4 linked regions of the Caenorhabditis elegans genome follow. Changing the gene in region 1 together with any one later gene gives a genetic interaction. Each region holds a gene or a part of one and is shown on either strand. Other genes may lie near its edges.

Region 1 (9,045 bases):
TTTTCCACAAAATTGGCTAGTTTTGGGCTATTTTGGGACTCCAATAGGGCTTCCAAGCAGGCGTCAAGACGCCTGCCTTGCGGCGACCTGGGCCTGCCTCCCGCTGCGAGTCGTACCTCCTGTAGAGTCACGTGGAGTCAGAAAGTCCCATTTCGCTTTGATCTTCGAAAAATGCGGGAGGTGAGATCCAGACATCTTATCTGATTTTGCGTGGTTAAGAGCGCGTTGACGTCACAATTTTTCTGGGAAAATATATCCGCATTTTTTGTAGATCAAACCGCAATGAGACAGCCTGACACCATCTGTATAGTGAGGCGAACCCGAAATGTGTCGGCCGCGGAGGAACAACCGTATTTCGAAAGATCGTGTGTTCTAAACACCAAGCTTTTGACTTCTAGCAATAGTGTAGAAATAAGGCGAGAGGCCGGTGTCAAGCAGACAGGTTGAAGGCAGGCGCCAGACCCTAAAACCGCGTCTGTCCCCCATGGAAGCCCTAGTCTTTAAAAAAATCCAGATTTCGACTCACATCTCTAATCTCCAATGCATCATCCGTCGTCAGATCCTTCACATTTATGTCAAATTGAGTGAAATTTACAATATGCTTAATAGGGATCAGAAACTTGGACCGGTTGTTCAGAATTTTAGCTTTCTTCCATTGCTCGAGTTCCACAACGCCATTTATCGGCTCATAGTACTTTAGGAATTGAGCTTGGAGAGTTATTTCTTCGAGAATTTCAGGTTCGAACTTCTGAAGTATTTCAGAAACTTCACGGGCGGTGAAGTCATCGATAATCACTTTTTTCGCTTTTAACTTGAAGTTTAAGGATTCGAAAAATGACTCAATTGCCTTTAAAATGATTTTTCTTTCATTAAAATTGTTGGTAGCCAGCTGTATCAGAAATTCATCAACTTCAGGGTACTTCACCAAGCTCTTCAAGTCCTCCATCAACATTTCAACGTGGTTCCTTCCAGCATGTACTCGGCCACTGTTCTTATATTCAACTTGGCAGGCTCCATCAACTTGCTCATAGGTAACCCCGCCGTAGTTCTCATCGAGAATTAGTCTTGAAAATTTTTCATGAAAATTTACATGAACCGTCTTCAGATTTGGACCGAGGTTATCGATTATTGCTCGGAAGCTGTAGGACACTTTTCGAGCGATTAGCCTGAATTTTCAATGCTTTTTTTCTTTAAAAAAACAAGGAAAACTCACCTTTCCAAAGCTTCCAGATTATTCAAAATTTGTTCAATAAGTTCGATTGGCAAGTCGGAGAGTGATGACATTTTGAGAAATTTGAAGAAAAAATGAAGTGATTTCAACACAGTTCTCTGTGACTAGTGGCCTAGTTGGACAGCGCAGAGACGCAGGCGCACCAGCTGACTAGAGAGTATGAGAATCAGACACCGAAGGTGTTTCAGAACTGGCCGCCAACTTGAACCTGTAAAATGTAGGCACAGCTTGAACCCTTGGCTTTAAATAAAATGTAGTCTTAGTTTGAAACCATGTGTATTCAGACAGGCTTTTCACTGTCTTACTTCCAGAAATTTCAGGAGTCGCATACGAAATTTACGTAGCAGTCATCGAAATTTTAAACAGAAAGCTAAGACCTGCGGCTAAGCCTGAGACTAATTTTAGGCCAAATTTTTGAGCCTAAGCCTAACTATTAGTTAGACCTTCTTATGTATTTGGCGATGGCAAAACGGTAATATCGAAGATTTTCAATTATTTTTGCCATTTTTCAAACAGTTCATGTGTATTCGTATTAAAACATTGTAGGGGTCGAAACATGCGACATTTCTTTAAATTTCCTCAAAAGCTCGTATTCAAAATTTTGGTAAATTGCCAAAAATTTTTTTTTGAAGTTTTATTATGATATTTGATCTTTTTTACACTATTGGAGTAGTTTTTAACACTTTCCCCACTGACGCTACTCCACCTTTAATAACGTGGTGACGTCACAATCTTTTTGTAGATCAAACCGGCATGGGACAGCCTGACACCACGTGAAAATACCAAAGGAGGCGAAATTTTACAAATTCAATTTTTGTTAAAACTGATTTGAGCCCACAAAAACAAAAAAGTGATGGCTAAAAAAAAGTGATGGTTAATTTCACGACACTACTTGAATAACCCCATTTTATCTGAATTTACGGTTTTGCCGCCAAATACCTAACGGGGCCCAATTTTTTTGGGTTCTAACTTTTTTTGTCTTCAAATTCAAATTTCCCCTTATTATACATTCAAAAAACCACGTACTTCTTTCATTTTTATCTTCTCATTCAAGCGAAACTTTTTCCCGCGGAAATTTGAGTGCAAGCGCGCTCCACTGCACCTTTCTCGTCTGCGTCTCCACCTTTCCCATTGTCTCTAATCCGTGACGAAACCTCATCATTTCTCGCATTTTGGAGGGGAATTCAAATTGATTTCTCTTGGTTTTTCTCGTTTTTTCTTGATTTTTCTCGTTTTTCAGCTCATTTTTAACCAAAAAATCGGATTTTTCAACTAAAATTCCGCATTTCAGCCATGGAAGACTCGTACAACGACATGGAAGACCCCGGCTTCCGCCAATTATCTGACATGGAGCTTCAAAAAGCGCTGGAAATGACCAAACAGAGCTCGATAAAGAACAATTTGATGCTCGGGCTCGACAATGAGCTTGACTTTGATTTTGGTACAATATTTGTCGAATTTTAAGCCGAAAACCCCGAAATTTCCAGATTTCGACGAGGATGAGGACCTGGATCAACCACAAATGGGCACACGAGCCGATAAATCGTTGGGATTGTTGGCGAAACGATTTATTCGAATGATTCAGTACTCACCGTATGGAAGATGCGATTTGAACACTGTATTTTTGAAAAAAATCGTGAATTTCGCAATTTTCGTATTTTTTAGGCCGCCGAGGCGCTCAATGTCCGGCAAAAGCGACGAATCTACGATATTACGAATGTTCTCGAAGGAATTGGTCTTATTGAGAAAAGAAGCAAGAATATGATACAGTGGAAGTAAGAAAGTCGAATTTTCAGCAGGAAAAATGACGTTTTTCAATGAATCGGCGGAAAATCGTATTTTAACAAGAAAAATGACATGTTTAGAAAAAAAATCAATTTTGTGTCAAAATATTGATTTTTCAGCTCAAAAAGCTTAAAATGCAAGAAATTTCGGAAAATTTCAGATTTTTACGTGAAAAATCGCATTTTCAGCCAAAAAATGGCGCTTTCCGGCAAAATGGATGAAAATCACATTTTTTGGAATATAGCTCCTATTTCCTGTAAAAATCGATAAATTCGATTTCTAAAACACTAATTTTTGAGATTTTTCACCGAAACAAATCGAATTTTCATATGAAAATTTCATTTTTGACACAAAATCACTTTTTAAAGTTAAATTTTCAATTCAAAGCTCAATTTTGTGGCAAAATCCTTATTTTTCAGCTTAAAAACATGAAAATTGCTGAAAATTTCAGATTTTTACGTGGAAAATCGGGTTTTCAGCCAGAAAACACAAGAAAAGGTCATTTTTAACACAAAATTACATTTTCAAAGCCAATTTTTCTATAATAGCCTCAATTTCGCTCCAATTTCGGTGAAAATCTCTATTTTCCGGCTCAAAAACCGCTTTTTTGCACATTTTTCCCCGGAAAACTCAATTTTTTGTTTTCAGAGGCGGTGATTTTATGCTAAACGTGAAGGAAGGGAAACGACAATCGGCCACAACAGAAGAAGAAGATCGAATGGAACAATTAAAAGCTGAAATTGAGCAATTAAATAAGGAAGAAGAGCTCATTGAGCAACGTCAAAGATGGCTTCAGCAGGTAGCGAATTTCCAGAAAATTTGATGAAAAATTTGCTGAAAATCGATGAAAATTGAGCCAAATTTACGCAAAAATTGGCTGAAAAATGACCAAAAATTTCAGAAAAATTCAGCCGAAAATTGAGAATTATTTGCTGAAAGTCGCTAAAAATTTGATCAAAATTGAGCAAAAACTGGCTAATTTTGATAGAAAATTGAGCAAAAATCACTGGAAATAAGGCTGGAAATTGGAAAAAATTTAACCAAAAAGTCCTGAAAAAAATAGAAAAATTCAGTCGAAAATTCTGGAAAAATATGGCTGAACATCATTAAAAATTGAGCCGAAATTTAGAAATAATGGGGCTGAAAATCGCTGAAAAAAGCTGAAAATTTGACTTAACTTCCTGAAAAATTAGTCTGAAAATCGTTGAAAACTGCTGAAATTTTGCCAAAATTTCCTCCAATTTTCTGAAAAAAATATGGATGAAATTTCGAGAAAATCAAGATAAAAATGGTGCCAAAATGATGAAAATTTTGTAAAATAAATTCTGGAAATTTCGGCTAAAAATTGCTTGAAATTGGTCCAAAACTGCTGAAATTTGGCAGAAAATTTCTTAAAAATTCAGTCAAAACTTCTGGAAAATTCGCTGAAAAATGGTCAAAAATTCATTAAAATTGCGGACAATTTTTCTGAAAATTTATAGGAAATTTCAGGCAATCTGAGCCAAATTTTCCACAATTTTTTTTTGAAATTTTTGGTCAATTTTTCGACAGTTTTAAGCCAAAACCGCTGAAATTCTCAAATTTCAGAGCCTCCGAAACATGACAGAATCCGTGGAGAACAACAAGCTCAGCTATGTGCTCCGTTCACAGCTCGCCGAGATTCAAGGCTCAGATCTTACGATTGGAATTCAAACGAGAGTCGGCACACAAGTTCGGCTCAGTGATCCGGAGGTAGAGAAGAAAATGACGCGAAAATTGGAATTTTCAATGAAAATTTAATGGAAAAACCTGGAAAATTGTGGAAAATTCATATTTTTCTTGGAAAAAACGGGTACAAAACCCGATTTTAACTGAAAAAAACGCTGATTTTTGCTCAAAATTAATTCTTTTTAAGAATTTTCGATGAGAAAAATGAATTTTTTAATTTAAAATACATAAAAAACTAGAAGACTGTCCAAAAACCGAAATTTCTGTCAAAAAAGTGTAAAAACTTCTCCTCGTGGAGTACACGAGCTGCGTAAATCTACGCAATATTTTTCTGTGTTTTTTGTATGCAAATTTGTAAAAAAAATATCAAAAAAATAAATTTTTGGCTGAAAAACGGTGAAACATAATTTTAAACAATATTTAAATACAAATTATTTGTTCTAAAAATTTTTTAAAAATTCTTAAATTTCCCTGATTTTTAGCAAAAATAACGAAAATTCTTCAAAAAATTTGATTTTCTGCTAAAAAAAGTGTAAAAGCCTCCCCTCGGGGAGTACACGGGCTGCGTAAATCTACACAAATAATTTTTTTCAGCTAAAAATTGATAAAACGAAAAAATTAAATAAAAATGTTAAAAAAAAAGAAGAAACTTTTTCAATTTTTAGAAAAAAAAAAGAAAAAAAAAGCTCCTTTTTCCAAAAAAAAGCAGAATTTTTTTTTGTAAATTTCCCAAAATTTGGCGAGTTTTCATTTTTTTTTTGTTGTAAATTTGACGATTTTCGTAAAACTGTCGTAAAATACAAAAAAATAGACTTTTTTTCGAAATATTTTGTTAAAAATCAGAAAAAAAATTTTTTTTAATTGATTTTAAAATTCACAGAATTTTTTTCGATAAATTTCAGAAAATTCCTGAAAAAACTGAAAAAGATTTTCAAAAAAAAAAACGCAATTTTCGCTCTATTTGGCTCTAAAAAACAAGACAATTAAACAAAAATCAGAATAAAAATTTTAAAAAAATTGTTTATAAAATTTTTGATAAATTTTAGAAAATTTCGGAAAAATCTTCTTTTTTTTCAAAAAAAAAATCGAACATTTTCAATTTTTATTTTCCCCCATTTTTTCCAATGAAATTAAAATTGCAGCAAGTCGATTTTTGATCGAAAAAAAGCATTATTTCTATGTGAAATGCATAAAAACCTATTACGGGAACAATAAATCATGAGAATGCGTACTTGGTGCATTTTATTTGACGCGCGATATCTCTTAGCGAAAACTACATACAGTAAATGCTTAAATATCTATTGTTATTTGAGTTCTTACTGTAGTTTTCGCTAAGAGATATCGCGCGTCAAATAAAATGCACCAAGTACGCATTCTCATGATATATTGTTCCCGTAATAGAAGACTGCCCAAAAACTGAATCTTCTGTCAAAAAAGTGTAAAAGCTTGTCCTCGGGGACTACGAGCTGCGTAAATCTACACAATATTTTCCTGTTTTTTTTCTCAATTTTCGCTTTTTTTTTTGTATGCAAATTTGTAAAAAATATCAACAAAAATTTTTTTTTGGCTGAAGAACGACGAAAAATAATTTTAAACAATTTACAAATCATTTGTTCTAAAAAATTTTTTTTAAATCACACTTGTTTCTTAAATTTCCCTGATTTTTAGCAAAAATAACGAACATTCTTCAAAAAATTTGATTTTCTGCTGAAAAAGTGTAAAAGCCTCTCCTCGGGGAGTACACGAGCTGCGTAAATCTACACAAATAATTTTTTTTTTGGATAAAAAATTGATAAAACGAAAAAATTAAATAAAAACGTAAAAAAAAGAAGAAACATTTTCAATTTTTAGAAAAAAAAAAAAGGAAAAAAATGCTCTTTTTTTCCAAAAAAAAAGCAGAATTTTTTTGTAAATTTCCCAAAATTTGGCGAGTTTTCATTTTTTTTTTGTTGTAAATTTGACGATTTTCGTAAAACTGTCGTAAAATACAAAAAAATAGACTTTTTTTCAAAATATTTTGTTAAAAACACAAAATTTTGTAAAAAATCCGAACAAAAATTATTAAAAAATTCATAGAATTTTTTTTGATAAATTTCAAAAAATTCCTGAAAAAACTGAAAAAGATTTTCAAAAAAAAACGCAATTTTCGCTCTATTTGGCTCTAAAAAACAAGACAAATTAAAAAATATCAGAATAAAAATTTTTAAAAAAATTGTTTATAAAATTTTTGATAAATTTTAGAAAATTCCGGAAAAATCTTCTTTTTTTTCAAAAAAAAATTTTCAATTTTTATTTTCCCCCATTTTTTCCAATGAAATTTTAAAAAAATTGCAGAAAGTCGATTTTTGATCGAAAAAAAGCATTATTTCTATGTGAAATGCATAAAAACCTAGAAAACTGTCCAAAAACCGAAATTTCTGCCAAAAAAACTAAAAACTTCTCTTCGGGGACTACACAAGCTGCGTAAATCTACACAAAAAATTTTTGTGTTTTTTTTTTCTCAGTTTTCGCTTTTTTTGTATGCAAATTTGTAAAAAAGTATTTAAAAAATAAATTTTTGGCTGAAAAACGACGAAAAATAAATTCTAAAAATTTACAAATTATTTGTTCTAAAAGATTTTGAAAAAATTACACTTGTTTCTTAAATTCAGCAAAAGCAGAATTTTTTTGTAAATTTCGCACAATTTGGCGGTTTTTTAATGGAAATTTGACGATTTTCATAAAATTGTCGTAAAATACAAAAAAAATAGTTTTTTTTCAAAATATTTTGTTAAAAATCAGAAAAAAAATTTTTTTTAATTGATTTTAAAATTCACAGAATTTTTTTTCGATAAATTTCAGAAAATTCCTGAAAAAACTGAAAAAGATTTTCAAAAAAAAAAACGCAATTTTCGCTCTATTTGGCTCTAAAAAACAAGACAATTAAAAAAAAATCAGAATAAAAATTTTAAAAAAATTGTTTATAAAATTTTTGATAAATTTTAGAAAATTCCGGAAAAAATTTTTTTTTTCAACAAAAAATCGAAAATTTTCAATTTTTATTTTTTCCCCATTTTTTCCAATAAAAAAAATTGCAGCAAGTCGAGATACACGGTGGACCATCTTGGTGTTACCTGAAAGATCCCTCTGGACCCCTCCGAGCCGCCATCGTTTCCAACCATGAGCTACATGATTTTGTACAGAGAGAACGAGCAAAACGGCCTGGTGAAGAGCACGTTGACGCTGATGCTCCAGATGAAATGATGGATGATTCAAGATATCGGAATCGGCGGACGATCAATGATGATGAAATGTTTGGTTTTGAGCAGAAAGGTGCTGCTGAATTGCTGGAAATTTTGCTTATTTTTTAAAGCAGAATTTTGAGAAAAAATGGATTTTTTTCACTGAAAGTAGCTAAAAAATAGCTTAAAAATGAAGAATTTTGAAAAAAAAAATTGGAAAAATCATCATTTTTTCCAAGAAAACACCAAAAAAACTGGACTTTTATGGACGTTTTTTCGAAGCTAAAAAATCCAAAAAATTTACTTTTTCTGATAAAAAACATTTTCCTTTTGTTTTCTGCACCGTTTTCTAGAGTTTTTCGAATCGAAAAATAATTCTCAGATTTTTTCACATGAAAATTTGAAATTTAAGCGAAAAAAACATCAAAACTGTTTTTTAACAAAAAAAATTGAAAAAAAAAACCGGAAAACCTAGAAATCCGCCAAAAAATTTGAGAAAATTTTCACAAAAAAAAGCATAAACTGAATTACATAAAATTCTTTTAAAAATTACAGAAAAACTGGGAAAATTTGGGAAAATTACCTCTTCTTTTTAATTTTATTTTTCGCATTTTATGAACGAAAAGTTTGAAAAAAAAACGTTTTTCCAGCATTTTTTGCCCCACAAACTTAAATTTTAAATAAATTTTCTAAAAAAAAATTCAAAACCCTAAAACTCCTCAAAAGTGTTCAGAAATCCGAAAAATTTGTTGTAAATTTTTTTTTTAGAAAATTTTAATTGAAAAGGCGATACGTTTCTTTCCGAAATGTTATGAGCTGAAATTGTAAAAAATTTAAATTTATTTTAAAAAAACTGCTAGTATTAAAAAAAAACTTTTTCACTTAGTCTTGATTTCAAATTTAAAAAAAAAATATTTTTTCACCAAAAATCAAAATTTGAACCACAAAACCACAAAAAATGCCGAAAGAATGCTTGATTTTTAAATTTTGGCATTTCCTCCAAAATCCACGACCAATCAGCGTCTTCGATCTCCGCCCACTTCTTCTGATTGGTTGAAAAGTGGGCGGAGTGAATCGCTGATTGGTCGCATTTGGAAGTTT
Region 2 (8,454 bases), on another chromosome or scaffold:
CCTAAATAAGTGGCAAAAATCGAAAATTTTAAAAAATCCAAAAAATTTTCCAAAAAAAAAATTTTAACCATCAAATTCCAGGTCGCGATCACCGTTATCAAGGTGGAAGTGGAAACGGCGGAGGCGGCAACGGAGGCGGCGGTGGCTTCGGAGGCGGTGGACAACGTTCCGGTGGAGGCGGTGGATTCCAGTCAGGCGGTGGTGGAGGTCGCCAACAGCAACAACAGCAACGTGCTCAGCCTCAACAGGATTGGTGGAGTTAAATGACTCGCCCATGTCTCTCGCCCACTCATTTTTAATCGTTTTTCCTTTTTCTCCAAAAATTATTCTTTTTTTTTTCATTTTTCCCCCATTTTTTTCTTTCCAAAAATCTTAATGTTTACACCCAATTTAGTATATTTCTTCCCCATTGTTTTTGCTTTAAAAAGTCCCAAAAAACTCAATTTTTCAATTTTCGCCAAAATTTTGTTGCTGAAAACGAAAAATTCCAATTTAATCAATTTTTGAACACAATTTCCAAAAAAAAAAACCGAATTTTTGCGAGAATTTAGATTTTTTTTTTGGAATTTTTGGAAAAAAAAACTGATTTTTCGATTTTTTTCCAAAAAAAAAACCCAATTTTTTGAAATTTGGAAAAATATTCCATTTTTTTAAACAAATTTCAAAAAAAATCATTTTTTTTGTTGAAATTTTTGGAAACTATTTTTCGATTTTTTTGAAAAAAAATCAATTATTCTGAAAAAATTCCAATTTTTTTCAAATTTTTGGAAAATTCCTTTTACAATTTTTGAAAAAAAAATCCAGATTTTTCGAAATTTGGAAAAAGTTCCAATTTTGTGAAATTATTGGAAAAATTCTTTTTTTTTTCCCCCCAAAAAAATGACCAAAATTAAAAGCGATTTTAAATTTCAAAACAAAATCCCAAAAAACCAAATTTTGCGAGATTTTCGATTTTTTAAAGCAAAATTCCCATACCCCCACCCCCCCCCCCCCTCTCCTTAAGCAGTTTGTTGTAACTGCTCGTCGCTAAAAAAAAGTGGTGTGTGCCTCGAAAAAGTCCCCCCACCCCCACTACTTTTCCTACGTGTGTGTGTCGCGTTGTCCACGTTGTTTTGTGCTGCAGCTCCCGAAAAAATTGAAAATTTGCCTATCTTTGTTGGCTCTTCCCGTACGGCTCCTGGTTTCCTCTATGAGGCATAACCAGGCAGGCGATTACGGTGGCGCTATAAGGCAAATATCAAATGCATCACCCTCTCAACTTGTTGGTATTTGAACTTTAATTGTGACAATTTTTAAATATATAGGATATTTTATTAATTCAAATTCAAAATTTCTTTTTAGGTAGTAACTTATTTGTTGATTTTTCGTTCGTTCGTTTTTCCTGTGAAAAGTTCTCGAAAACTACTCATAATTATTATGATAATGTCCTATAGAGTGATAATATTCTCTCAATTGTCATCATTTCTCTCAGATTTCTTCTCCCCCACCTGTGACACACACTGTTTGAAAATGTGCTCTATTGTTTTTCAGTGGCTCATCTTTTTGTTGTAAGCACATCCCCCCGAAGGTATCGAATCTCGTGTGCAACGTTCACAAGTTCTCGATCTGTAGCGACGGGTTTCCACAGACATCTTCTTAATTTTGACCCCTTTTTTTTTGGCTTTTTCTAGGTATTCCCCCCCGATTTTCCCTCCTTTCTCTATTTTTTTTTCGAAAAAAACTATTTAATAATCATATTGGATGAATAAATTAAAACAAAAAATTTAGTGTACTCTTTGGCGCACCTACCATCATCGCCGCGGTGGCCGAATTGCAAAAACTAGGCCATTCAATATTCGCGCCAAAAAACAACACTTTTTCGGCGCGAAATTTAAATTTTAATACACAAAAAATGTTTTTTTTTGCAAAAAAAATTCAGTTGATGCAAACTTTTTCAGAAATTTGAATTTTTCTGCCAATTTTAATAGTTTTCCTCAGTCTTTCATTGGATTTTCATTTGATCGATGTTTTCTGAAAGTTTTCCTAATTTTCTTGTAATTTTCAGCTTCCAATCGAGTTTTTATTAAATCCAGAACAGAAAAATACAGTAAAATCGGCGAAAAGTACAAGCTTTTTGACGTCGGCGCTCCTTTTTGGCTTGCCATTCCTGGAAAATTAATGAAATTTCGCTTTTTCAGCAATTTTCATGTTTTTTGATGTTTTTTTCCTTTTTTTTTGGCTTTTTCTCCAAAATAATAATTAAAAAAAAACCACGTGCGGCACTCTTGCAAAAACCACGTGCCAGGCTTGCCAAACAAAACCACACCTACAATGAGCAAGCGCGCCCCACTGGACATTGAGGGGATTTTCAAATTAAATCGATTTTTTTGTATTTTCTTGGTGTTTCTTCTGGGTTTTCCAGTCGAATTTCTGTTTAGTTTTTGAAAATTTAATATTTCAGATTGAAAAATGTCATCTTTCCGTCATCCGCAAGCCACACCGGCGAGAAATGTGAGTTTTCACGCAAGAATTTGGTTTTAAATTCAAAAAATCACCAATTCAGTTCCAAGATATGTCATCGCGTGGTCCAAAAGTACCAGAAAGACCACTTCAACCCTACATGCGATACAGTCGGAAGATGTGGCCAAAAGTTCGCGCCGAGAATCCAGAAGCCCAGCTTTGGGATATTGGAAAAATGATTGGAAAGTATTGGTTGGACCTTCCGGACGGTGAAAAATCGCATTATCAACATGAATATGAGCTTGAAAAAGTTAAAATCAACGAGAAATTCCCGTAAAAAATGATTATTTTTCAGGCAGACTACGAAAAACAAATGAAACATTTCCAAGGAAACGGAATTTCCAATTTTATGATTAATAAAGTGACTTTTTTCAGCCGAAAAATACATTTTTAAATACATTTTCTTCCAGGGACGCGCGAAGAACAACGAAAAAATGTCGAGAAGCCGAATGGACGCTGGCGGAGTTGTAATTCAACCGGTTGACGAGGATGACGGTGGCAATGAATTGAGCACCCGACGTCTTGCGGGTGTCAGATTTGAACGAAATAATCGATTGATTAGTGATTTGTTCTCGCCGAGCATCGTTACTGATACAAGAACTGTAAGGGATTCTGGAAATCCTGAAAAATTGGGTTTTTGCACAAAAAATGCTCATTTTGACTTGAAAATACTGAAAAAGCTGGGAAAAATCCATTAAAGCGAGCATTTCAGCAACAAAATCGTAAAAACTGAATTTTTAAACGAAAATCGTTAAAAATTGCTTATTTTTAGCAAAAATCTCAGAGAATTGGATTTTTTGCACACAAAATGCTAATTTTGACTTGAAAACACTGAAAAAGCTGGGAAGAAGCGAGAAAAATCCATTAAAACGAGAATTTGAGCTACGAAAATTCGGAAAATTTTGATTTTTCGAATGAAAATTAAATTTTTCAGACAAAAACCGTTTGAAAAGTGGATTTTTTACGCGAAAGTCACAAAAAATTTAATTTTTGAGCAAAAATTGCTCATTTTAACTTGAAAATACTGACAAAGCTGGAAAAAGCGAGAGAAATCCATTTAATTGAGCATTTGAGTCGTGAAATTCGTTAAAAAACTGAATTTTTTCAATGAAAATCGTTAAAAAGTGGATTTTTCGAAGGGAATTTGAATTTTTCAGGCAATAATCGTTTTAAAAAATCTGATTTTTTCGATAGAAGATCGTGAAAAAACTGGATTTTTTGAGCAAAAATCTCGGAAAACTAGGATTTTCAAAGAAAAATCGCTTAAAACTATGAATTTTCAAGAAAAAATCACAAAAAACTGCATTTTTTTGCTCAAAAAGCTCAAATTTCTCTATTTTTCTCCAGAATTTTCAATTTTTCCCAATTTTCAGGTAGTTCCACACCACCGAATGGAGATGTTGAAGCGACAGGCGACATCTCTTGGTACTCATCAGAGCAAACTTGAAGAAGAGCTCACAAAGTAAAAATTGATACAATTTCACTATGAAAATGCTGTAAAAATCGATTTTTTGCCCAATTTTTCACGGAATTTGAGCAGTTTTTGATCTTAAAATTGAAATTTTCAGCAAAAAATCAAATTTTACATGTGCAAAATGTGTAATTTTTCAGTTTTCGGAGATATTTTGGAGTAAAAACCGAAAAAATGTTATTTTTTGGATTAAATAATCGATTTTTTATCGTAAAAATCGAAATAATTTATTTTTTTCAAAAAAAAAAGCGAAAACTTGAATTTTTTAGCCGAAAATTCTGAAAATTCTAATAGCAAGAAAAATTGAATTTTTAAGCTTAAAAATCCGAAAATTCTTCAAAAATTCGAATTTTTAAGCCTAAAAATCTAAAATTTCTTCAAAAAAATCAAATTTTTTTCCTAAAATCTGAAATTCCTAAAAAAAACATTTTTTAGTCTAAAAATCTGAAATTTCTTTTAAAAAATTGGATTTTTTAAGCTTAAAATCTGAAATTTCGAGTTAAAAAATTCAAAAAAATTATCTAAATCTAAAAATCGAATTTTTAGGCCTAAAATCTGAAATTTCTGAAAAATACGAATTTTTGAGCCTAAAATCTGAAATTTCTTAAAAATTCAATTTTTTAGTCTAAAAATTTGAAATTTCTAAAAAAAATAATTTTTTTAAGCTTAAAAATCTAAAATTTCTAAAAGATTACATTTTTTAAGCTTTAAAATCTGAAATTTCGAGTTAAAAATTCAAATAAATTTCAAAAAATTATCTAAAAATTATCTTTAAAAATCGATTTTTTTCCCAAATTATCCATCTTTCAGACTGGAAAGAGCCCATGACAATCGAAAAAGAGCCATCGAAAAGGGCAGTGACGACTTCCAAGAGCAATTGAAGAAAGCTGTTAGTGAAAAACCAGTTGTAGATGAGGAAAAGTTTGAGGAAACTGTTAAAGAATGGGAGGAGAAGCTTGCGACAGCTTATGAAGAATATAAGAAGAAACAGGAAACTACAGCAACTCAAAATGGTGAATATATAGAGAAAAAACACGCTGAAAATTCGATTTTATTGAGAGATTTTGGAAGAATTTTATCTTAAAAAATGGCAAATTTCCAGTGAAAATCTGAAAAAAAAAACAGTTTTTTTTTTCTAATTTTTTAGACCAAAATTGTCAAAAATTCCAATAAAAACCCCTGTGGGGACAATTGTTAGGCTAAAAGTGAAAAAAAACCTTCATTGGCAGAAAATGTGTCCCCCTTGCACAGGGTTTTTAATTGAAAATTTGAAATTTATTGAAACATCAACTCAAAATTGTGAATATCTGCAAAAAACACGCTGAAAAATTCGATTTTATTGAGATTTTTGAAGAATGTTAGCTCAAATATCGCAAATTTCCGGTGAAAATGTGAAAAAAACGTTGTTTTTTTTCGAATTTTTAGGCCAAAATTGTCAAAAATTCCAATAAAAACCCCTGTGGGGACAATTTTTAGGCTAAAATTGAAAAAAAAAACCGCTTCGATGGTTGGGAATGTGTCCCCACAGGGGTTTTTATTGAAGTTTTTGGCTGTTGTGGTTAAAAATTCTATTAAATACCCCTGTGGGGACACATTTTCAGCCTCTGAACCGTTTTTTTTTAATTTTTAGCCCAAAATTTGTAGAAAGTTCCAATAAAAACACCTGCAGGGACACATTTTCTGCCATTTTTGCGCTAAAAACAGTCCAATGCCAGAAAATGTGTCCCCACAGGGGTTTTTATTAGAATTTTGACAATTTTGGTTAAAAATCCCAATAAAAAACCCCTGCAGGGACTCATTTTCAACCATTGAGGCTTTTTTTTTCATTTTTAGACCAAAGTTGTCGAAAATTTCTATAAAAACCCCCTGTGGGGACACATTTTCCAGCAATTTTTGTGCTAAAAATTAAAAAAAAAACGGTTCAATGGCAGAAAATATGTCCCCGCAGGGGGTTTTATTGAAATTTTAACAATTTCGGTACAAAATTCCAATAAAACCCCCTGCGGGGACACATTTTCAGCCTCTGAACCGTTTTTTTTTAAATTTTTAGCCCAAAAATGTCATAAATTTCGGCAAAAAACCCCTACGGGGGCACATTTTCTGCGAATTTTTGTGTAAAAAATGTGTCCCCGCCGGGGGTTTTTATTGGAATTTTTAACCAAATTTTCAAAATTTTCAATAAAAAACCCCTGCGGGGACACGCAGCATTCTTATCAAAAAGTGATCAATCATCATTGTGCTGTGTGCTAATCATTTATTTTTTCCAATTTTTTCAGCGAATTCAGCGCCACTGTTAAGAAATTTGGTAATGGAGGAGACACCGAAGACGCCGGAGCAAGAAAAAGAGCAAAATGTCAAGGAGAAGCCGGCGGAGAGCACAGAAACACCAGCTGCTGGCACAGAGCCAAGTACAGATGATGGAGCAATTGAAACTACTACCACTACTACTACTACTGAAAATAAGGAAAAGCCGGAAGAAAAAATGGAAGAATAAATGGTCGCCCGGGAAATTTAAATTCACCAACAAAAATCTTTAATTTATTACTTTTTTACCCTATTTTTTAATTTTCCGCCTCTGAAAAACACCACCTTTTTACCCGTAAAATGGGCGGAGCCTAACAGACCACGCCCACAAAATGGGCGGGGCTTTATGTATTTTTTTAAACGCAAAATATCTCATTATATTTCGAAAAAAAATTAAATTTCGCAGAAAAAAATTCCCCAAAAAATTGAAAAAAAAATGGTTAGGCCACGCCCACAAAATGGACGAGGCTTTATTTTGATCTCAAAATTATTCTGAAAAAATTCAAAAAAAAAATCCGCGATTGTCTATTTTGTGGGCGTGGCTTCTTAGCTTTTTCGCTTTTTTTAAATTTAAAAAAAAATAAAACCGAAAAAGTTAAGCTCCGCCCATTTCTGGCCATTTTTCGAAAAAAAAATTGTGTTTTTTTTCGAATTTCCCTCTTCCAATATCCTCTTTTCACCAATTTTCACACAGAATCTCTCGATTTTTGTTATGTATTTTATTCATTTCCTCCTATATTTTTTATTTATTCATTTATTGTTCTTATCAAATTATCAACAATACACATTCATATATATATATATATATATATATATATATATGTATTTTAAAAAATTGTCGAAAAATCGGGAAAATTTTTAAATTTTTGAAGAGAAAAACAAAAAAAAACAATTTTTCCGAAAAAGTGAAATGTTCGAAAAAATGGGCGGGGCTTGGTAGACCACGCCCACAAAATGGCTGACCATTTTATGGCCGTGGCCTATTGAGTCCCGCCCACGTTTTGCATTGAAATTTCAAAAAAAAAATTTTTTTTCGTTAATTTTTGTTTAAAAAACTAGAAAAAAATCAACAAAAAACTAATTTTAAAAAATTAGATTTCGTAGAAAACAAATTCCCAAAAATTTGAAAAACAGAAAGCCACGAAATGGGCTGAGCTTAATTTTTATCTAAATATGTTTTAAAAAATCCCAAAAATCGCAGATTTCAGGCTTCTGCCTCTTTCCTAAAACCCCCATCTTGCCTCATACACGCGTTTTCGGTGTTCAAAAAATGTTCAAAAAATGTCCGAAAAAATGTAATACAATTTTGAACGTTTATATCTCGGCTCTCACGGAACCGATTTTTGAAATTCTTTTTTCTCTACATTCACAAAATATAGCGACGTGTGTTCATCTAAAAGGGGGTTGATTTGGGAGCATCCTGTCGGCTCCACAAGCGGAAAACCACACCCCTCTTGTTTTTGCGCACACCGAAGTACTGGTCGAAAACCACTTTAAATTGAAGGAAAATTCGAGTTTATGTTCAAAACGTTTGAGACTCGAAACTTAAGTTCTCCTTTTCAATACCTATCCACTGTATCTAAGTTCATTGTGATATCTCTATTCTTTATTTTAAAAACGATAATTAAAGTTTTGCCAAAATTTCTGCACCTCCCCCCTTTTCTCACACACACACACCCACCTCCCCTTTTCATATTTGGTGTGTTTTCACCATTGTTTCGGTCAAATCTCCGTTAGTCTTGCTCACTTCTTTCAAACAATTTACATTTTTCCATAAAATTCACAAACTTTCCACTATCGTTCCGGTTTTTACGTTAAATTTAGAATTTATAGAATGATTTAAAATGAAATCTCAAATCACAGCTCGATCCGATCACTTTTCGCGGAGATAGGGTATTTAATTTTTGCACATGGAAATCCAGTTTTCCTCTGTTCCTGGACAAGTTTTCAACTATCCTTTCGATTTTATGTTTTAATTTTGATAATTTTCATTGAAGCAAGGTAGAAAAACTAAATTTGGTCGGTCTTGACAACTTTCAGCACATTTGTGGAAGTTTCGAGCTTCCAGGCCTTCCCAGAAGGTGATATGTTTCAATTTTTGTTATTTTTTAAAATAATAACCGCCGTATTATTCCACTTTTTACGCCAATTTCAAATATTATTTTATTTTTTTCAAATTT
Region 3 (8,753 bases), on another chromosome or scaffold:
GCACGTATCTAGCTTGTCACTTCGTGGCTTGTCTTCCAAAGAAATGATGTTAATAATATCGAAATGTGAATCTGGAGTACTGGAAAGTATTCACTTGGGAAACTGTAATATGCTTTGTTCATTAAATGAAATTTGCCAACTGGAACAATGGAAAATGACAAAGTCACTCAATGCTCATGGAGGGAAATTTTCTGTGGATTCTATACAACACTTGTTTCATTTCACAGAGTTTACTATCACTCTAGATACATTATCCACAGAAGACGCCATCAATGTTAGAGATGTAAGTGGTAGCCGAAACCTGGGCAGAAATAGCCGTTCGGCAAATCGGCAATTTGCCGGTTTGCCGAACATTAATTTGCCGGAAGTTTTTTGAGGGATGTTTTATAAGACGGAAACACTTAAAACTGTGCCTTTTTGAAATTTTTTGCTTAGTTTTCAAAATATATGTAGAAAAATTTATCGGATCTGTACAATTTTGCCGGTTAAAATTGAAATTCTGAAATTTCCAATAAAAAAGCCAAAAATTTTTGCAATTACCGTTTTCCGACAAATCGGCAACTTGCCGGAATTGAAAACTTACGGCAAATCGGCATCTTGCCGGTTCGCCAATTTGCCATAGGTTTTCAATTCCGGCAATTTGCCGATTTGCCGGAAATTTTGCTGCCCACCTTTTTATGATTAATCGACTTTCCGTAAAATCAAAAAAACATTGTTTCAAAAATATTCAAAAAATTAACAAAAGAAAATAGAACATTATGATTGTCGTATTCAAAAAAATTAAGATTTCAAGCTATTTTTCTAAACAATTTATTCAACTAACTATTCTAAAAGTTTTGCAAAACAGTGCAACAGAACAATTTTAGATTGCAACCCCTTAAAAATAAAATCTATAAAACACTTTAAAGAGAGCTGACAGTTAAACAAATCCTCAGGCGGCTGGAAAAATTTTATTTTTAAAAAAATTATGGATTTTGGCCCAACTAGTCTATCTCCAATATAATTTAGTTGTAAAATAAATTTTCAGGTGCTCGTCAAATCGTCCAATTTTTTGCACTGTTACATCCATCTCCCATTCTTAAACATTCAAGAAATCGCTACAATTTTCAAACCTGACTTTTCCAATCACTCTGCTGAAACATTCACAATGACACTTAAGGAAACAGTTAATGAATTTATTATTGACATGAGTCCCTACCACTTCAAGATTACCAATATACTTCATTCCTTTTAATCGGTTGTCATTCAATTTGATCTTGCATATTTTCGATAAATTTCTGGATTTTTAATGAAATTTTTAATGAAATTTTTTAGTACAAAATGCTTAAATACCTCTAGTGGCCCATAAAACCAACAAGAAAAACTTTCACTGTTTCCCCGTTGCTTTGAAATATTCTGCAAACATTTTTAGTTTTTACTACTTTTGTAACTAATATTGAAGAGTTCATTAAAACAGGAAAAGGCAAAAAAAACAAGGAAATATAATATTATAGAGATTACACATAATGTAAAAAAGGAGTGGGGTGCCAATAAAAGAGGGAAAATAGAAAAAAACTATGGAAGAAGTTAAGTATAGCTAGGTTGATTGTTGGGGTTATAATTGAACACACGGTGGGTTCTTGGCAGTAACAAATATTACGGGAACACTAAACTTTGAGAATGCGTATTGCGCATCATATTTGACGTGAAAGATATCTCGTAGCGAAAACTACAGTAATTCTTTTAATGACTACTGTAGCACTGATGTCAATGCCGTTAGAAACAAATTTATTCTCAAATTGCGATAGCGTTTTTTAATTTTCCTCCAATTTGTTCGTTTAGATGTTTTTTTTTAAGTTTTTATCCATTATTTAGAAAAAATAACGCAAAATCGGATCAGCGCTACAGAAGTCATTTCAAGGATTACTGTAGTTTTCGCTACGAGATATTTACTTTAGACACGTTGCGCAATACGCGTTCTCAGAATTCAGTAGAAATGAGTAGTATTTTTATGGATGTAATATGATTTTTTTGTCAAATACTGTTTCACTACTTGAGTTTTCACATTAGCAGATTTTTACTTCATAATTATCTATTTAAAGCGTATTGAAGTGGTAAAGAGTATTTGTCAAAAATGGTTACTAAATCCATGCGAGATTAGCAACAAATATAAAAAATAATCTTACAATTTGTTGACTGGTTGAAAAACTGATAACATTTTTCTGCTGGGAGATTTGCAGAACTGTCTGAAACGGTTTCGAGGTTCCAAGAATCAAATTTCTTCTCGAAATTTTCACGTAGAAACGAATCAATTAAAGGGGCATCTACTTCTTCAGGATATAATTTGAGAGATATATGCGAGTTAGGTTGAGCATCCTTTTGAGTCATCAATATTATTCCCGATATAAAATCTTCAACATTTCCTTGACTCATCATCTCTTGGCAAACTTCCTTCGAGAATCTTACAGTGATCTTATTGCTGGGAAAGATTCTGCGAGCGTTGGCAATAAAATTATCGAATAGTGATTTCCGATTCTTTATTTGTTGTTCGACTACTTTTGTGAGTTGTAGATCAATTTCAACGCCATCCAATGTGTATTTTGACCTTGGTTGAGTCCAGTAATCCACATAAAACTTGGCTTTTGGCACAATAAAATCAGTGTTACAATGGAAATAGTAAGGTATTGGTTGGTCTTGTCTTGGAACAATCTCCACAGTTTTCACATTCCATTTCTTAATCAATAAATCCAGAAACTCCCTTGGTAGAGAGTATCCAAATGCCTCCTTTTCGTACATATACATTAGAAAAATGGTTAATTTTGAGCATGTGATATTCGAATTGATAAAGTCTTCAACTACTGTCGGATCTTCTTTGTTAAGTATCATTAATTTGTAGAGTCTCCTGAAAATTCAGATTTTGCAAACTTATAATGAGTGAACCAAAATTAGTAAAATAGTTTTTGTTACTACAGTGCGTGTACTGCTTTTTTAAAAATTTTTTAATGAGAAAACTGAAAACTTTTAGAAAAGTTATTGTCCTCTTGCATTAAGCATCGTATTAACCTCGGATTTTTGAGTACATTTCGCGTAAAATCACGATTTTTCTACTATTTTCAGAAAAAATAATTTGGACTATAAGCGCAATTATGTATTGTTTTCCAAATCTGTGTAGCAAATTAAATCTTCATTCTAGCACATGTTTCACATTTTAAGACGTTAAAACTCAATAAACGCCCTGTAATTGGTACATATATCTTACAATAAACAATACTGAGAAAAAACGGTAAAACTTATTAAAGGTGGTGTAGTCGAATTTGAGACTATACTTAAAAACATTCACTATGCTCGTACAAGTCGATATGTAAAAGCGAAACATCACAAAAATTTTGCTAAAGGAAGTTATGAGCCTTCAAAGTGCCGAAAAAAATCTCTTCGTCCATCTAATTTGAATTTCGCGCGCAAATGAGCGCCCCCTCGTGTGTACTCCTCTCGGACAATCAAATAATTAATTTCTCGATTTTCGGCAATTTTCGTATTTTATCGTGATTTTTCATAGTTTTTTCGATGTTTTAATCGAATTAACGACGAGCCAATGTCTATGAATACAATTTAAACTGATTGATTGCCCAATGACACCTAAAAATAGACAAAACTCACATTTTATTGCATTATCCAGTTATTACTCCATTTTTTGAACTGCTTTACGTTAAATATTTTACAAAATATGATTTATTGTCTCTTTAAACATTAATTTCTAATAAAAACCCAGAATAGGCTCATTAAAGTACGAAAAATCATCTAAAATTGCTGAAAATCGAGAAATTAATTATTTGATTGTCCGAGAGGAGTACACGCGAGGGGGTGCTCATTTGCGTGCGAAATTCAAATTAGATGGACGGCGACATTTTTTTCGGCACTTTGAAGGCTCATAACTCGGTTTAGCGAAATTTTTGTGATGTTTCGCTTATACATATCAACTTGTACGAGCATAGAGAATGTTTTTAAGTATAGTCTCAAATTCGACTACACCACCTTTAATGGGCCTAATATAGTGTGAAACCTTTGGTCTTTTTTCAGAATTCGTTATATTTCCGATTTCTGCCCCTCCCCCAAAATTTTTTTGATATTTTCATTAATGAGACGTGAACTTTTTTGTAATTTCAGGCTTAGTATTGTTGTTTTCTAAGCTTAAAAATTGAAATAGTAATTAAAGAAACATTCACGTGTGAATTTAAATTGAAATATTGAGTGTTATAAAATTGAAAAACATTTGGGGGGGGGGACAGAAATCGGAAAAGTATCAAGAATTCTTCTTAATTATACGCTCTCTTTTTTGTTAGACTCATTTTAGGATATATAAATAGTCAGAGGATGACACTCACATTATTTTCTTCAAATGTCATAAACGTTGCTTGCAGCAAAAATTTGTGGAATTCGATCCAGGTGATCAAATTTTGAGGATGGTGTTTCAGTGCAAAAAGTATTAGAATGCTGATTCAAAATATAATACTTATTCCGTCTCCAATATGCTATTCTACAAAATTTTGGTCAAATCAACGTTTGAGGTATTTGTCGGCATTAGCCTCTGACTATTTTTTGGGGGATGGTTTGAGCTCTGGTTTTGACATGAGCTCATACAAAAATTGAAAATTTTCAAAATTTTCCCGGTTGTCGCGCACTACTGAATCAGAGTCTTTATCTTTACGTCAAAATTCATGTTTTTTTTTCAATCGTTGAGCTTCAACTTTAGATGAAATTTTCAAAACAATTGTTTTTTTTTTCAAACAACCTCTAAACTGTAAATAATATTTTCCGAAAACACCTGAAAATCGGCGATTCGATAATTTTATGTATAATTTTCTAGCTTTAAAACTCACATGTCTTTGACCTGTAAAACATCATAATGGTGTTTTAGTCTCAGAATAGCATTGAACATGTCATTTTGAACTGGTCCGAATACTTTGCAATTTGCAGCTATCTTTTCACATGGAATACATGTAGAAAAAGATATTTGATCAATACCAACAAATTCTTCAACCTTATCATCTAAAATTTCGAATACTTTAATGATTAAAGTTTAGTCACTTTACAAAACGATAGATAATCAAGACTTACAATCTGAACCTATCAATGATTTATGAATAACTTGATGAACATCGGTAATCATACAGCATACTCTTTTTGAGTCTTCGATTCGTATTTTGATTACCATAATCTTCATGGTTTGTTTTAAGAACCTGAAATGTAATGTACAACAAAACTCCTCGATTTTTATATTTTTATACCCACCTTGCATATTGGAATATGTTTTTCTTATTAAGCTTCACAGAATTCAAGTGGACTGAACAATCTGGACATGGAGAAATTTTATGGAGTCTGTCACAACGATTAAACTTGTGAAATACCACAGTTCGATTCTCTTTTCGAATCACATGAATGGCTGCCAAATTGAATGATTTGTTGACTAACTGAAAACTGGTTAGTCTTGGTTTAAATATTGTGTAACTACGGTGCAAGGGCATTAAGGAAACTAAATTTCCCGAGAAAATGGTTTCAGCAGAGAAAGCTCCCCGATGACTTACACGAAGCTCCAGTCGATTGTTTATATCGCCTTTCACATTTCTCAGAATATTGTCGACGATTGTTCGATTGTTAAACAATTTCAAGGCGAGATCATTGTCCTGAAAATGAGAGTTTTTTTAAAAGATAACATATTTTTCTATTTTTATTAATAATAATAACTTTGTTTCCTGCTATGTTATTCGCAAGGAGAAATCATCGAGCAACGTGATGAAAACGGTGTTTTCATTTCTTTGTGTGCCAATTTCGAAGATTTTTTGTGAACAAAAACAATAAAACTTTTCCTCTCAAGTTTTCCATTCCCATACGTAAATTGCAAAACCATTTTATTTATAATTGTTTCAAACCAGAATACTTTTGATTTCAAGCCGCCTAGGCGCTGAGAAAAATAAACTTTAAAAAAAAACGCTATACATATTTGATACCATTTGAAAAATGCAAATTTGGCACGCTCAACGTTAGGGTGTTACCATAATTGAGTCGCACCATGTACCTTTTTTTAATTATAGGGCTATGGTATTTAAATTCTCCTTTTGCTTTATTCAAGTAACCAAAAACATATATTTTAGTACAGTTGCGCGGTCATAAGGTGTATTAAAATACATTCCGTAAAATTACTTGAATAACTCGATTAAAAAGACACATTCATAATACAACAGGGTCATAAATTTGTTGATAAAAGCACCGCACCCTGTACTATAAGTTTTACTCACGTATAAATTTTCGAAAAGGATTGTGCAGCTTGAATTAGGAGTATTCATTAGAGATTAACTTTGACTGATTGTCTGAAAATAAATAAATAAATAAATATATATATATATATATATATCATTTACTATATATAAAGCGCTTATTCTGTGTGTCCATAGTTTGTAGTCTATGTAGTCTTTGTAGTCTCAGAAGTTTTGGCTTCTGGAGGGATAGTTAGTTGGGGTTAGTGTAGGGATATAGTCGGGGTACTGTAGTGGTACAATAGTGGCACGGTAGGAATACTGTAGGGTTACGGTAGTTTCAGAAAAAATTAGTTTTAGACCCAGAAGTCGGGGGCCGCGCCAGAGGTGGGGTCCACGGCTGGTATGTATATATATATATATATATATATATATATATATATATATATAATATATAATTTTAATGGAGGTATAGCAGAAAAAGAGCAATAACTCAAAAAATATGTTTTGTTGGATATTTCATTTTTCTCGGTATTTGTTTTTTTAAAAAAAAGGTTTCTAAAATTAAACTATCCAATTTTGAAAATAAAATTGATTAATTGTGCAGCAGATGCATGTGACCCCCAAATGTTTCCGATGAATAAACCTCCGTAATGGTCAGCAATAATCATTATAAATTTAGAAGTCTTTTATAAAATGTATAAAATAATCTAATAAACGTTTATTATACTAAGAAAATATTATTCCAAAACCTAACAGCGAATGTAAATATTTCAGCTCGATTTTACACTTTTAAAATAAAACCTATTGCATTTGAAAGAAGAGTTTTGAAATATGTCACTACAAAAAATTCGAGAAGCTCTTTGGAAAATTTTTTTTTGAGAAAAATAGGAACATTTTCTTGGTCGAGCTATGCTTCTGTGTTTACTGCCAACTTTCATGGAAGTTTTGGTCTGAATAACTTTGGTTAGGATTGTCTGGAAATAATTTTGCAAAAAAATTTATAAGGTGCTAAAATGAGCGAATATTATAAAAAAGGTTTCAAATATACAAATATATGATCAAAGTAACTTATTTTTTTAAAAAACACTTTAGTAAATAGGAACATGTATGTACATACTTACTATAGTAAAATATGAGGGAGTATAAGAATATTTGCCGTAAAAACTGAAAAGCAATGTTATTGAGAGTAAAAAAAGTATCTAAAAAGCCATTTATATTTGAAACGTCGGTATTTAATACATAAGAAACTAATGAAGAGTCTACTCCGCAAACACTGCACAATGGAAAAAAGTGGGAAAGGACCTATAGCAGCGTAATAGATGACGTCATATACTATTGGCATTGGGTCGTTACTTTTTTTTTCGGCTGTCGGCTGACGCCGACAGCCGCACAGCCCTGGTGGACAGCTGCATTAGAGACCCATTTCTTTTCAAGTTGTATTTTTTAGTAGGAACAACTGAAACAAGCGATTCCAATTTTAATTTTTATAGCTACACATTTTATATGTATGTAAATATGTTTTATATATTGATTTTTCAATCAAAAAAATTATTTTACAATTAAAATTAACAGGGACAACAAATATAGGGCCAGCAGATCCAGGGTGATAAGGTGAAGAATTTTTTTTTTGATTTTGTTTCAATAATAAATACGCTAATAAAAAACTTAAAAACAGCTTGAATTTTCGAGAAAAATCCAATTTAAAAATGCGACTACTGTAAAAATTAGTGTATGTACGTAAGGTTTGCCCCCCCCCCCCCCGTGAATACTAATTTTCGGACAACTGTTTAGATGCAATACTACTAGAGGGTGCAAAACTAACAGAGGATGCCATATTTATTTTCGAGCAAGGCTTTTCTGACACAATTTCATCAATTTCAATAACAAAAATCGGACCAAAATAACACATTTTACCACTGATACGCGAAAATCATCTAAGTTGTACTCATATTTTACCAACTTTGACTTGTTACACCAAGTCTGTAAGAATTTCCCTGATTTATAGAACAATGCTATACTTCAAATTTTAGAGCCTCAATTATAGAGAAAAAATGAAGGGGTATAATTGCATGCAACACTATTAGAAGAGCAACACTATTTTTCAAGAGATAATTTTGATACAATACTAATAGATACACCTTACTAACATTGGAATAAGGTAATTAACAAAAATAAAATGAAAAAAAAAAACATAATACTTAAGTTTTCTCCTAAATTTTCGGTTAAATTGAGTTCTGTTTGAATGGCTGCTGCGGTGTCCACCAGAGCGCATTTTATCTACGTACTTATCGATTTTCTTCATGATACCCACTAATGTCTTTGTTCTGTATAACAGGAGAATGCAAAGTGCACCATGAAGAAGAAAAACCCTACTGTGTGTTTAATTGTCCACTTTCATAATAATGGAAAAATGGAGACATTAAACAGAAATACAAAATTAATTGTGAATAAATTGTGATCTACATGTGTCCTACTCAAACTTTTCAAAGAAACCCGGGAAATGAAGGCTGAACGGAAGGT
Region 4 (6,375 bases), on another chromosome or scaffold:
TTTATGTTTGTTCTTATCAATATAAACAAAATTAGATAAAAAATCATATTTTATGGTTAATTTTCTGAACATTTTTTTCGATTTTTCGATTTCCACTGAAAAACGTCAAAAAATCGAAAAAAAAATTGAAAAATGACACCCTTGGTAGCAACAACTAACTCTAGTTTTCAAAGCATTCTTCTGAATTGCTCGAACCAGCACAAGAGTTGTCAAACCTCCGAGAGAGATCTCGCGGACACTGAAATCACTGTCCAGCCAGCCGAGATCCTTGATCATCTGCAAATATATACTTCAATATAATCTTAGCATTTCTAGTGAAAACTCACCGTCTCGTGTATAATCTTGCAGAAAATATCATCTTCACTGAGAATCAAGGCGACAATCAATGCAAGATAAACATGGTGAGAGTTGTTCGATGTCGCGACACCGTCGTGAAGAATTCGAAGAACAGGAACAACTAGATTCTCGAGGTTGATCCGAGACAACACATAGTTCCGGAATCCCGAGTTCGCCTGTAGAAGCATGTAGAGTAGAAGCATCGGAGGTTCCTGGCCAGCGGTAGCACACAATCTTTCGTATAATCCATTATAATCGATTTTGAACGACACAATCTGAGTAGGCAATGTGGATACTTCTTGAGCATTTTGGAAGAGAGCAAGGGTTTCTTTGAATGGATTGGATGAATTGAGAGGTTGATGGCATGAAAGATTGAGGAGAAGCAGGATGCTTAAGTTTCCAAGAGTAAGTGGGGGCTTCTTTTCTTCCTCTGCGGAGTCGATACCAGTTGCCATTTGGACCATTGACCACATTGATGCTTAAAAATCGTGTTTTTTTTTTAATTTAATAAAGAATTAAAAAAGATTTTCAGTGACATACAAGCTAATCCAAAAACAATGCTCTCTTGTGGCTTTTGTACAGTCATGTGATACTCTGAATTGTGGATCAAATAATTGAGAAGAAGAGTTTTAGTGAGCGAAGCTGCGTGTTTCGCACATGATCCATCAATAAAGAATCTGAAGACAATTGAAGTATTCACAATTGATTCATTATATAGTTGAGAGCTCAGGAGAGTTAGGAGACATCGAACTGCTTCGACATGGATTGCCAATGTTGTTTCGCTGAAATTATTTTAATTCAATTTTTTAAAAAATAATTTAAAACTCACTTTACAGAAATATTGATTAAAATCGAAACCAGCTCATACGTGAACTCTTCTGCAGTGTTTTGAAAAACTATCGGGATATATTTTGTCGCTGAAAACGTCAGAATTTGATTATTATTGAATTTTTTTTTTAAATGAAGCTTATTTACCTCCATTATTATTTTCGTTTTCTGATTTCTGTTCGTCATCATCTTCCTCATCCGACGAGGAAGATGTAGACGACGATTCGGTTTCCGTACTCTCATGACTTTTGGCGAAAATCCTCACGAATTCTTTTTCCGTCATACGTTGAGTTAAAAATCTGGCGATGTAACGAAGAATGAGAAGAGCGTTTGATGTTTGCCATAAGTAGATTTTACTGAAATAAGAAAAAGCTTTAATTAAATATAATGATGATTTTTTTTTCCAACTCACTTTTCGCATTGTTCTGATGTTTTTAGTTCTGTGGCTCTGCGAAGGAAAAGTCGAATAAATGCAGCGAAATTTCCTGTTGTTTGTGTATTGTACATTAGACATTGAAGATGATCATCTAAAGCAGATTCCAAAGCGATTCGGGTGTCTCTAAACGATTATAACATTTTTAAAGCTTTTGCCTAATTTTAATCCTTACTCGTCGTCATCATCAAACTTGAGACTGAAAGAGAGAAGTTTGTTCCAAAATGGGTCATAATCGTCGACAGGTTCCAAACCGCTGAGTTTCTTCAGATAAATATTCTCCTGTAAGACCGTTTCCTTGGTTATAACTGATCCCATGTGTCTGAAATTTGTTATTACACTGTTAATAATCATAAAAATAAAAGAAAAAGTCAAGAAAGGGTCAAATATTAATCAGGTCACATCTTTTTTATTCAATAAAATCTCCTCTCTCGTTCGTGGCAATGCACGTGAAATGCGCCAACAACCGCGAGTGCGCCAACACACACACATACGCGTCAGCAGACAATTCGCTCTCGTTTGAAATTTAGTTGTTTCTTTGTTTCTGCTGAAATAATGTCAGTTTTCCGATAATTTCAGCGTTTTCTGACTGATTTTTCTTGTTGCATTCACTTCCTAATAGTTCATTCTACTCCATTCTTCATTTTATAATCTGTTTCCTTCGCAATTTAGTGAATTAAACACGTAAATCTTGTTTCAGATAAATTATTCAAATAGTTGCACAAAGCTCAATAGTTTAGAAGTATCTTCAGTGCTGGTCACTAATACAAAATGGATCCGGCTATGGCTTCTCCAGGCTATCGGTCTGTGCAGTCCGATCGGAGTAATCACCTAACAGAGCTGGAAACGAGAATTCAAAATCTTGCCGATAATTCACAAAGAGATGATGTCAAATTGAAAATGTTACAAGTTAGTTTCAATAATTCGTGTTAAGTAATCAATTTGTTCGGTTGCAGGAGATTTGGAGCACAATCGAAAATCATTTCACACTAAGTTCGCACGAGAAAGTCGTGGAGAGGCTCATTCTCTCGTTCCTACAAGTTTTCTGCAACACAAGTCCACAGTTCATTGCTGAAAACAATACACAACAGCTTCGAAAGTTAATGCTTGAAATCATTCTTCGACTTTCGAACGTAGAAGCCATGAAACATCATAGCAAAGAAATTATCAAGCAGATGATGAGGCTAATCACCGTGGAAAATGAGGAGAATGCCAATTTGGCTATCAAAATTGTCACCGATCAAGGGAGAAGTACCGGCAAAATGCAATATTGCGGAGAGGTTTCACAGATAATGGTCTCCTTCAAAACAATGGTCATTGATCTGACGGCGAGTGGTCGAGCTGGTGATATGTTCAACATAAAAGAGCATAAAGCTCCACCGTCAACTAGCTCCGACGAGCAAGTCATCACTGAATATTTGAAGACTTGCTACTATCAACAAACGGTTCTTCTCAACGGAACGGAAGGAAAACCGCCATTAAAATACAATATGATTCCATCAGCTCATCAGTCAACGAAGGTGCTCCTGGAGGTTCCGTATCTCGTGATTTTCTTCTATCAACATTTCAAAACAGCGATCCAAACCGAAGCGCTTGATTTCATGAGGCTTGGTCTTGATTTTCTAAATGTCAGAGTTCCAGACGAGGATAAACTCAAAACAAATCAAATAATAACCGATGATTTTGTCAGTGCACAGTCCCGATTCCTGTCATTCGTCAACATTATGGCTAAGATTCCAGCGGTAAGTTTCGTTTTTTCAAGTTTTTTTTCTGTAATCCTGATTTTTATTTTTCAGTTTATGGATCTTATCATGCAAAATGGACCGCTTCTAGTGTCGGGAACAATGCAGATGCTCGAGCGGTGCCCGGCTGATCTGATAAGTGTCCGACGAGAAGTTCTGATGGCTTTGAAGTATTTCACATCTGGAGAAATGAAGTCGAAATTCTTTCCAATGCTACCTCGACTCATCGCTGAGGAGGTTGTTCTGGGAACAGGATTCACTGCGATTGAGCATTTGCGAGTTTTCATGTATCAAATGCTAGCAGATCTGTTGCATCACATGCGAAATTCTATAGACTATGAAATGATCACACAGTAAGTTTGAATAAGACTTTCTGATGAAAAATGTTGAAATTTCAGCGTGATTTTCGTATTCTGTCGCACTCTTCACGATCCTAACAACTCTTCTCAAGTCCAGATTATGTCTGCTCGGCTGCTCAACTCACTGGCCGAATCTCTGTGCAAAATGGATTCACATGATACCGTAAGACTTATTCTATCAATAATCGTATCTCACTTCGAAATAAGTTTCAGACTCGTGATCTGCTCATTGAAATCCTGGAGTCGCACGTGGCCAAGCTCAAAACTCTTGCAGTCTATCACATGCCTATTCTCTTCCAACAATACGGAACCGAAATAGACTACGAATACAAAAGTTATGAGAGAGACGCCGAGAAACCTGGAATGAATATCCCAAAGGACACTATACGAGGAGTACCGAAACGAAGAATCCGTCGGCTCTCCATTGATTCAGTTGAAGAGCTGGAATTCCTGGCATCAGAACCATCCACGTCGGAAGATGCAGATGAGAGTGGTGGAGATCCGAACAAGCTTCCTCCGCCAACAAAAGAGGGAAAGAAAACGTCTCCCGAAGCGATTTTAACCGCCATGTCAACGATGACACCTCCTCCATTGGCAATTGTTGAAGCTCGAAATCTTGTGAAGTATATAATGCATACGTGTAAATTCGTGACAGGACAATTGAGAATCGCCCGGCCATCACAGGATATGTATCATTGTTCGAAGGAGCGAGATTTATTCGAACGTCTTCTACGATATGGTGTAATGTGTATGGATGTATTCGTGCTTCCAACAACTCGAAATCAACCACAAATGCATTCTTCAATGCGGACAAAAGATGAGAAAGATGCTCTGGAGTCGTTGGCAAACGTTTTTACAACAATCGACCATGCGATATTCCGGGAAATCTTCGAAAAGTATATGGATTTCTTGATTGAAAGAATTTACAATCGGAACTATCCATTGCAATTGATGGTGAACACCTTCTTGGTTCGAAATGAAGTGCCATTCTTCGCATCTACGATGCTTTCATTCTTGATGTCTCGAATGAAATTGCTGGAAGTTAGCAATGACAAGACGATGCTATATGTGAAGCTCTTCAAAATTATCTTCTCCGCCATCGGAGCCAATGGCTCTGGGCTTCATGGAGATAAAATGCTCACTTCATACCTCCCAGAGATTCTCAAACAGTCAACTGTCTTGGCATTAACAGCTCGTGAACCTCTCAACTATTTCCTTTTGCTTCGTGCATTGTTCCGCAGTATTGGTGGTGGCGCTCAGGATATTTTGTATGGAAAGTTCCTGCAGTTACTGCCAAATCTTCTTCAATTCTTGAATAAATTGACGGTGAGTTTCATTTTTTGATATATCGGTAATACACTAAAAATCCAGAATCTTCAGTCATGTCAACATCGGATTCAAATGCGTGAGCTCTTCGTCGAGTTGTGTTTGACTGTGCCAGTTCGACTCAGTTCCCTTCTGCCATACCTACCGCTTCTGATGGATCCACTGGTGTGTGCGATGAATGGGAGTCCGAACATAGTTACACAAGGATTGAGAACATTGGAATTATGTGTGGATAACTTGCAACCTGAATATCTTCTCGAAAATATGCTTCCTGTCCGTGGAGCTTTGATGCAAGGCCTCTGGCGTGTTGTATCGAAAGCTCCAGATACATCATCGATGACAGCAGCGTTCAGGATCCTCGGAAAGTTCGGAGGAGCCAATCGAAAACTTCTGAATCAACCGCAAATTCTTCAAGTAGCCACTTTAGGCGACGTAAGTTTATTTAGTTTATTCTCTTCCTCGTTTTAAGTTCTAACATTGATCCTATTAACAGACTGTTCAGTCGTACATCAATATGGAATTCTCGCGGATGGGACTCGATGGCAATCACAGCATTCACCTGCCACTGTCCGAGTTGATGAGAGTCGTTGCCGATCAGATGAGATATCCAGCTGATATGATCCTTAATCCAAGTCCTGCAATGATCCCGTCAACTCATATGAAGAAATGGTGTATGGAATTGTCGAAAGCCGTCTTGTTAGCCGGACTTGGATCTTCAGGAAGCCCAATTACTCCAAGTGCAAATCTTCCGAAGATTATCAAGAAACTTCTTGAAGATTTTGATCCAAACAATCGTACCACTGAAGTATACACATGTCCGAGGGAAAGTGATCGAGAGCTTTTTGTGAATGCACTTCTCGCAATGGCTTGTAAGTTCTTAAGTTCTTTTCTCTCTAATCAGATCTATATTTTAAATTTTTCAGACGGAATATGGAATAAAGACGGTTTCCGGCATGTCTATAGCAAATTCTTTATCAAAGTTCTCCGCCAGTTTGCGTTGATTGGAGTACTCGAATACATTGGTGGAAATGGATGGATGCGTCATGCAGAAGAGGAAGGTGTTCTACCATTGTGCCTTGACTCGTCTGTTATGGTTGATGCTCTGATTATTTGTCTCTCTGAAACATCGTCAAGCTTCATCATTGCTGGTGTCATGTCTCTTCGTCATATCAATGAGACTCTCTCGCTTACACTTCCCGATATTGATCAAATGTCGAAAGTTCCAATGTGCAAATACTTGATGGAGAAGGTGTTCAAATTGTGTCACGGGCCTGCTTGGTATGCAAGATCTGGTGGAATCAATGCAATTGGATACATGATCGAATCGTTTCCACGAAAATTTGTTATGGAC

What was found.
Region 2: of efl-1 (region 1) and swsn-3, changing one enhances a phenotype caused by changing the other (phenotypic enhancement), as found in Caenorhabditis elegans (one large-scale study listed by BioGRID).
Region 3: of efl-1 (region 1) and pha-1, changing one enhances a phenotype caused by changing the other (phenotypic enhancement), as found in Caenorhabditis elegans (one large-scale study listed by BioGRID).
Region 4: of efl-1 (region 1) and trr-1, changing one enhances a phenotype caused by changing the other (phenotypic enhancement), as found in Caenorhabditis elegans (one large-scale study listed by BioGRID).

Annotation. Positions count from the first base shown.
Region 1 is NC_003283.11:16,959,153-16,968,197, reverse strand, and holds the start of efl-1 (E2F/DP family winged-helix DNA-binding domain-containing protein), read left to right. Parts: upstream 1-2,522; 5' UTR 2,523-2,524; coding exon 2,525-2,672; intron 2,673-2,718; coding exon 2,719-2,849; intron 2,850-2,896; coding exon 2,897-3,006; intron 3,007-3,664; coding exon 3,665-3,815; intron 3,816-4,603; coding exon 4,604-4,747; intron 4,748-7,800; coding exon 7,801-8,035; intron 8,036-9,045. Other genes in the region: fbxa-90 (F-box domain-containing protein), read right to left, coding at 527-1,166, 1,214-1,284.
Region 2 is NC_003281.10:2,762,660-2,771,113, reverse strand, and holds swsn-3 (HMG box domain-containing protein), read left to right. Parts: upstream 1-2,434; 5' UTR 2,435-2,448; coding exon 2,449-2,490; intron 2,491-2,542; coding exon 2,543-2,749; intron 2,750-2,794; coding exon 2,795-2,860; intron 2,861-2,909; coding exon 2,910-3,101; intron 3,102-3,872; coding exon 3,873-3,961; intron 3,962-4,780; coding exon 4,781-4,983; intron 4,984-6,246; coding exon 6,247-6,464; 3' UTR 6,465-7,104; downstream 7,105-8,454. Other genes in the region: ATP-dependent RNA helicase laf-1, read left to right, coding at 82-263.
Region 3 is NC_003281.10:11,129,366-11,138,118, reverse strand, and holds pha-1 (F-box domain-containing protein), read right to left. Parts: upstream 6,321-8,753; coding exon 6,273-6,320; intron 5,661-6,272; coding exon 5,269-5,660; intron 5,217-5,268; coding exon 5,095-5,216; intron 5,026-5,094; coding exon 4,857-5,025; intron 2,882-4,856; coding exon 2,137-2,881; 3' UTR 1,442-2,136; downstream 1-1,441. Other genes in the region: fbxa-128 (DUF38 domain-containing protein), read left to right, coding at 1-283, 1,028-1,234.
Region 4 is NC_003280.10:11,671,850-11,678,224, reverse strand, and holds the start of trr-1 (Transcription-associated protein 1), read left to right. Parts: upstream 1-2,297; 5' UTR 2,298-2,368; coding exon 2,369-2,506; intron 2,507-2,553; coding exon 2,554-3,339; intron 3,340-3,393; coding exon 3,394-3,692; intron 3,693-3,737; coding exon 3,738-3,861; intron 3,862-3,905; coding exon 3,906-5,024; intron 5,025-5,069; coding exon 5,070-5,456; intron 5,457-5,517; coding exon 5,518-5,893; intron 5,894-5,947; coding exon 5,948-6,375. Other genes in the region: C47D12.2 (Dymeclin), read right to left, coding at 160-276, 327-814, 877-1,118, 1,166-1,253, 1,312-1,520, 1,577-1,723, 1,773-1,915.